Linked DNA regions of Mus musculus. The protein of the gene in region 2 interacts with the protein of the main gene of each other region in a biochemical or structural test. Links are inferred from orthologs where the notes say so. Each region holds a gene or a part of one and is shown on either strand. Other genes may lie near its edges.

Region 1 (4,316 bases), on a different chromosome or scaffold from region 2:
TCCCTGATTCAGAAGCTAACAGGTTTGGCATGATTGGGACTTTTGTGGGAGAACATTGCTGTGGTCATATAATGATACATATAAGTAAACATAATCATATTATTATTAATATCTTTATAAATAATCAGCTGTATTTGGTTTTTGTGCTTGTGTTTTCTATTTTTGAGACACGGTCCTGGCTAGCCTGGAATCTGCTATGGAGACCAGTTTGTCCACGGAGCCTCCCATTTCTGCCTCTGGAGTGCTGGGTGGTATTGGGCATATAATACCACCATATCTGTCCCTTATTAGTTGTCATTTTCCTTCCCTGCAAGGCTTTTCTCCTTACCTTGTGGCTGGTGCCTAGTACAGAACTCAGTATGTCTGGCAGGCCATAAGTAATGAAAGAATGCACCGGACTGCATGATCAGCAAATATATTGTACTTTAGTTTCCTCAAGAATCCTAAAACCGTCTTTCCTAAATAGTGCCTTACCTCTATCTCCTCACCCCTCATCGCCTCACCACAATCGTCTCTTTAGAACTAATTCTGAAGATGTCACTGCCACTCTCAAATTTCTGGAATCAAGTTGCCATCTTTACCAAGAAATCCAAGCAAACTGTGACAGATGGAGAGACATCTTTGGGGAACCTCTGACAATTTGTCAAATCACATCTTTCAATGAAATTACTTGGCTGTATTAAATTATACCAGAAGGTGAGCCCGAAACTCGCTGGTGAGCTCCGTGAAAATAAATATTGCCTGGTTTCACACAAGCAAGCGAGTAGTCCGATGATTCTTGGTGTAGACGCCCCTCCACCAGAAACAGGTTTCATCAAAACAGGTAGTAAACTCTAATTAAGTGGGTACACGTTTTGCTTTTGGGAAACACATTTCACCCTAAAAATACTTGTTTCAAATGCCGGTACAAAGTGTCATTTCTTTACTGACAGGGTACATCGCAAAATTAGCCAATCTGAAGGAAGACTTAGGACCCTAGATTCCCGATGAGGATATAGTTCCACTCAAGTATTATAGGCTCCTTCAAGATACAGTTTTCCTAACCGTGAACACAGTCATCTCACAATCAGCATCTTGAATCAATTACGCAAATACCAGTTAAGCCGTTCTGGTGCCCGGGAAAAGAAACGCCAGCATCAAGAAATCCCTGTTGGCTTCAGCTGTCCCCTCCTGCGGGGCTTGACAGCGCTTCTAAGGCGCCCAAACACCAGCCACCAGGCTCCCCCCAGCGCCCTCCTGCCGAATCAAACCGCCAGGGTTCTCAGGCCAAAATCCAGTGTCCTCAAAGCAAAACCATGAAAATGCTAAGCAGACGGCAGGGTTCATAAGAACTTTTTTCCCCTTTCCCTTGAGCGAATATTTTGAGAAGTTTGCCTATATTATCCACTTCTTGCGTCCACAGTTCACTTCCCTCCACCTCCTGGAGGCGCAAAGGAGAGCGGGCGCGGACCCAATCGAGAACCCATGAGTACTTACTACCTCCGCGGTTTCTCGGGGAGGGGAGATTTAACAGCTCCATGAGAATCTGATACAGATAATAAAAGAAGGCTCTTTCTCCCTGTTTCACTCCACCCTTGCTAAATGGAAATAACAACAACCAAAGTATGCAGCCAGTTTTGAGCTGGAAAACTGGGCTTCTCTAACAGGCAACGAGGCCTACAAGGGAGGCAGTCTGCAATATGGAGGGAGAAAGTTTGGCCGCCGAGTGGACGTCAGGGTGGGAGTGGACCGCACCCGGTCCGGAGCCCGCCGGCCGAGAGACGGATCGAGGAAAAGGAGGGCGGGATTCGTGGAAGAGCCAACCGGGCGCGCAGGCTGCTGCAGCGGGGCAGACGGTGACCTGACCTGTACTTACATAACGCTTCAACTTCTTCTCCGGGGGCGACTTGCGGAGCCATCCCGAGCAAACCACTTCGCCGCCGCTCATGGTGCACGCCGTGAGGACTCGAGGACCAGACACCAAAGGGGTCGGTGGACACAGTGGACGCGCTCCGTGCACGGCGGGCACGGCAGTCAAACGCAGCCCAGAGGACGTCTCAGATTCCCCCGACGGGGCGGCCCGGCTCCCCGCGCCCTGTGTCGGCGATCGAACCTCTCCCGCAGATTCGCGGACTGAAGAGGAACTCGATCGGGAACCGCGGGGACCAGGGCTCGCCGACCTTCTTTCAGTGCGCCCTCCTGGCCGCCAGGCGCGCCGTCCCGCCGCCTAGGCAGCGGTCGGGCTCCGCTGGGACTCTGTCCGGACAGGGAGCCCAGAACTGGAAGCCCTGCGCTCCGCCCCTTGGAAACGGGACCTCCCGCGGGTGCTCCCCGCTGCGGACCCCACGCTGCACGCGCACACACAATGCCCGCGCGCGGTGTCCGCTCCGCTCCGCTCCGCCCGTTGGCGCATTCACACTGAGAGGGGCTCGATCTTCTCTTTCCCTCTGCTCGGAAAAGGGCGCCTGGGAAGGCGTGCGGCGTCCGGGTGGCAGCCGGCACAGGGGCAGGTCCTGATCAGCCTAGGGAGTTCGCGGACCAGCAGCGAGGGTCAGGGCGTCGCCGGGCGTCGGGGAGGTCGCGGGTCCGCGGTGGGAGGGTGGGTCTGCGCTCCAGCCTCGGATGAGGGCGGGGATCAGCACAGGGACGAGGCGCAGGGCGGCTCTGCTTCGGGGAGGGACCCCTCTGTCCTGTCCCCTGCGCTCCTCCCCCACCCCGGGGGCGCGCGGCGGGTTCGGGGAGGCGCGGCCTGGGCCCCGGCCCTCCTCCTCCTAGCCTTTCTGCCTCCCCTTCCCACGATCGGTCGCCTCTAGCTTCAGCCCAGACTTTCTCTGAAACTCCTCCGGAGCGCTTCCAGCCAAAACAACAAGGGCTGGGGAGGCGGGGCCGGCGCTGGGAGGGAGCGAGATGGCAGAGGCACCCTGGGATCTGTAGTCAGCAGGCGCGCTGGGGTCCTCGCCGCCCCGCCGCCCCGGGCCCGCGCGCTATGGAAGGCGGCGGTCTCCGGGAACGCAGCGCCACCCCAGTGTGAGAGCGGGAGTGCCGGGCACTCTCGCCAGCTCCGACTGAGTTTGCCATCTTGACAACCCCCAGGGTCAGGAGTTTGTACTCGGCTGTGCCTTCGCGATCCAGAGTTTTCGGAAGGATTTCCCTACTTGACAGTCTGAAAAAATAACCCAGCCAGGAGGAGAACTCACTCAAGCGGGTCCTGGCTGCTCGAGAGACTGAAGGACTGCGTCTCCCGGACCAGGAGCGCGCTAGGACCCTCACTGTGCACCCAGAGACCAAGGGGGTGGGGGACCTCCTGGGTGCCTAGGGCCTGACCCAGGAGCTGTTCTACCGAGTGATGCTACCGCTTAGCCTCCACAAAGCGTTCAGCTGCGTGTATCTCTAAGACAGGATAAAGTCTCACACTGCTTCCACTCATGGGCTGTTTCTTCCAGTTGGCGTTGTGTTTGTTTAAAACCTGCGCTAGGATGTTGGACAGGAAAAGAAATCATTCTGGGTACCCTAATTCTATTTGCCTTTTTGTGTGTTTTACAGTTATTATATCTGGGCTGAGTTTGACACAGTCTTGTAACAGACTCTTCTTTACGGGTGTGTTTGAAACAAAGCCTTGGAACAAATTTTAGAAGGCAATATAATCAGACAAAAATTTTAAAGAGTTGGGCATGGTGATGCATGTCTTTAATTCCAGCGCTTGGGAGGCCGAGGCAGGCAGATTTCTGTGAGTTTAAGGCCAGTTTTGTCCACAAAGTGAGTTCTAAGGCGACCAGGACTACATAAAGAGGCCCTGTCTCAAAAAGGGAGTTTGTGTGAAAATACAAATAGATAAACAAGCATTTCTGAGAAGCATGAGTTTGGGGCTCTCCTAATAAATGTGTGTTCTGAGTCTGAAACCTTGGGGGTCGTAAAGAGGAAAAGGTGCTGGGAGCCCTGCCTGGCAGAACCCCTGTAATCCCAGGCCTGCCAAGGTAGGTAGGGGAGGGGGAGGGAAAGAAAGACTAGAGAGAGACATGGAGGCAGGAGTGAAGAAATTAAAGAAAGAAAAGAAAAGTAGATGCTAAGTTAATAATAAGACAAAAGCCCTTGCATATAAGAAGAGACAGTGCCCTTTGTTTTTGCCATAAAGTGCTTTTGAAATGGAAAAGTGTAATCTATCTTGTATTATTTAACTTTTGGAATTTCAAATAGAGCTTTTTTCCCAAATAAGTTTCACTTATTCCATTTCTATATACAAAAATCTACACCTGCAGTTAGAAACTTACACCTGCAACCCCAGCACTTGGGAAACTGAGGCAGGAGGATTATTGTGAGTTCTAGGTCAGCCTAAGCTT
Region 2 (3,017 bases):
CATCGCCCGGAGGGGAGTCAGGGGCAGCGCAGCCCCCCCGAGCAGCAGCAAGCCCTAGCCACGCCGAGGGGGAAAGCACAGAGCCGTTGCACCAACTGCGCGCCTGCTCCAGACTCACCGCCCGCCCGCAGCCACAGCAACCGGAACCGGAACTCCAATGGGTCACCACCACGGAACGCGGTGGGGAGGGAAAGCAGGGAAGGGCCCAGACGCCGCACCCAGGAAGGCTGGGCCTCGCCACGCCACTCCTCCGAAGTGCGCCTGTCGCCGCCCAGCTAGCCCGGTAGCAGAGTGGAACGCACCACTCGACAGGGGCCGTGCGAGCTGCGGGTGGGCCTGGGGGCGGTCCGGACACGCCCCTTCCCGCCGCGAGCCAGTCGCCTTGCAGATACGTCCCTACCGCACAGCCTCGCAGCTCCCCAAATCTCTGCAAACTGGTGCCTGCGGGCTGGCGCTGGCTTGGAGCCCACTGGACCTAGCCCAGATGGGGTCCGTCACCACCTCCCACAGACAGCCCCCATCAATCAGACTTTCCAGAGGAGTTGAGAGGCCGAGGTAAAAGAAATACGAACTTTAATGAAGACTATTTCCCTTTGGTATAAGACATCCAAACCAAAAATTTGGCGACCATTCCTTGTCCAGAAAGCCTACACACAGAGTGAGCTTGCAAGGTTTCTGTGCTGGCTGCAGCTGCCCGAAAGCAGAAGGTAGGATCTAAAACTATCACATCATAGTCCCACAACACTGCTCAGCCAAATTTCTGCTCAGTTGTCTTGGCGAAAAAGAAAAAGGGGGGGGGGAGGAGTGGGGTACAATCCTGTCCTAGTTAAGGCCAGGGAGTAAAATCCCAACAGTTGTTTAAAAAAAAAAATAAAAGTTTGGAAAAGTCATCGAGGTGATGTATAAATGTAATTGATTATCATAATTCTGTGCTCAAAAGTCAGCAATGAAAAACAAAACCAGGAAAATAAATCTACAGCCCTAAAATGTATACATGTTTTTTAAAAAAGAGAGTGCAGTTCCAGACCTGCAAATGGTATTGGGGATTGTCTACTGCTTCAGTCTTATTGCCTCCACAAAACCCACACTGACTGTACACACCCTGGAGGCCCAAGTCAGACGCACACACCTATCCCAAAGGAGGGAGGCAGGATGGGGTTACAGTGAGGGCTATACTTTGGCTGTAGACTATAACACACATGCAAACATGGGAGGAGCAGGCTTGAGAAATGTATACAGACCCCTTGGAGGAAAGGCATTGAGGTCAGGAGGCACTGAGCAAGATGGGTCCAGTCCTGCCCCTCCCCGCTACCATCAGGAAGAAGGCTCTGGGGTAATCGCTCTTTTTGGTTTTTGGAGACAGGTTCTCTCTCCATAGCCCTGGCTGTCCTGGAACTCACTCTGTTGTAGATCGGATGGCCTCACAATTCCTCCTGTCTCTGCCTCCTGAGTGCTGTGATTAAAGGCGTGCGCCACCATATTCAGGCTTGGGGCAATCTCTTAAGGGCTGCACATCCGAAAGGCAGAGCAGATAGCGGCCACTCCTGTCCCTATTCTCCCTAGACACAGGAAGGGGTGCTGAATAGGACAGGGCTCCAGAAGCCAAGGTGGCAGTAACCCCTGTCCACACGTGAAGGGCCTGAGAACTCTGCATTAAGTATCTGCAGACCTATGATAGTCAAAGGCACAAAGTTTAAGGGGAAGCAGAGGGAGTGGGATATGTTATGCGGGATCTGGGGTACCCTGAAGACCCAGGAGTAAACCAGAGGTATAATTATTTCCCTTCCCCCAAAGGGCAGTTGCTCCACTGGGCCTATCATCACAGGGCATTTTCCATTATAAGAACCCACCCTTTGGGGGGGAAGGGCATCAGGTTGGCACAGGCAAGGCCCAGACAAGGGACCACTCTGCACATTAATACTTTGGTGAAGTTTGGCCAGAGGCAGGATGCTACCCCAGGCTCCTTACTGAAACCCTCTTTTTCTCTCTCTCAAGTGGGCACTAAACCCATGTCCTCGTTGCTCCCAGTTCCCACCCAAGGCCAGACCCACAAAACAGAGGTCCCACAAGTTAGAGAATACGGGAGACGGAAATGGAGAGCATCCTGTTGGAGAAGCTGAGAAGGATCACACTTTCCGATCCACGGGTTGCTGTAGGCACAGTTCGCTGCCCGCAGAGATGATGGGCAAGTGATTGTCCATGTGGTAGCTGATCAGGTGACTGACACTCTCAAAGCGGTGATCCTTTGTCCGAACCTGGGAGGCAGGGAGAGAAGGTTGGGTCAAGAGAAGAGCTCAGGAAGACTGAGGAAGGCGGGCCAGCAGCCGTGATTATCCAGGCATCTTTACAGAAAAGACAGTCACATGGGTGGGAATGGGCAGTGAACTGGGCGAAGGGGAAGGAGACCAGAAATCACGGAAGCTGACAGTGAAAATTCTGACTTGAAGGAAGCTGGTGTCTCTCAAAAGTGACACAATGCAAAACCAAGGTGGAAAAAATGCTGAGAAGAGAAAAGAAACTGAGCAGAGCGGTGGCGGCACAGCCTTTAATCCCAGCGCTGGGGAAGCAGGGCAGGCGGAGCGCTTCAGTTCGAGGTCAGCCTGGTCTACAGAGTGAGTTCCAGGGCTACACAGAGAAACCCCGTCTTGAACCTCACCACCACCCCTCCCCTAAAAAAAAAAAGAAGAAAAAGAAAAGAAACCAAGGTTGTATGGAATAGTAAGGCAGGTTAGATTTGTTGAAAACAAAACAAAACAAAACAAAACCCTGAGTTTGAAGCTAAGGAGCTAGGGAGGCTCCTGACTCCTCTTGCAAGAGAAAATTTGGGGTCTCCACCCCCTAACCACTGACACTGGGCACCACTGCCTTTCCAGTGTCATTTCCTCACTTAGCAAAAGATCAAGTAAGCACTCTCTGGGGGCTGGCAGGCTTCACTGGGATGTGAGGACTGGTCAGAACTGAGAAGAACACAGCTCAGACTCGAGGACAGCAGGGAAGGAACCCTGAGCCACTGCAGG

Evidence for each region.
Region 1: the proteins of Shc1 (region 2) and Gab1 form a complex in vitro, tested with the Homo sapiens proteins (2 studies listed by BioGRID and IntAct, with this or other methods). The link is inferred for Mus musculus from reciprocal best matches to the Homo sapiens genes SHC1 and GAB1.

Annotation. Positions count from the first base shown.
Region 1 is NC_000074.6:80,877,677-80,881,992, forward strand, and holds the start of Gab1 (GRB2-associated-binding protein 1), read right to left. Parts: upstream 2,804-4,316; 5' UTR 1,928-2,803; coding exon 1,856-1,927; intron 1-1,855. UniProt on the Homo sapiens protein: Adapter protein that plays a role in intracellular signaling cascades triggered by activated receptor-type kinases. Plays a role in FGFR1 signaling. Probably involved in signaling by the epidermal growth factor receptor (EGFR) and the insulin receptor (INSR).
Region 2 is NC_000069.6:89,427,555-89,430,571, reverse strand, and holds the end of Shc1 (SHC-transforming protein 1), read right to left. Parts: intron 2,256-3,017; coding exon 2,127-2,255; 3' UTR 543-2,126; downstream 1-542. UniProt on the Homo sapiens protein: Signaling adapter that couples activated growth factor receptors to signaling pathways. Participates in a signaling cascade initiated by activated KIT and KITLG/SCF.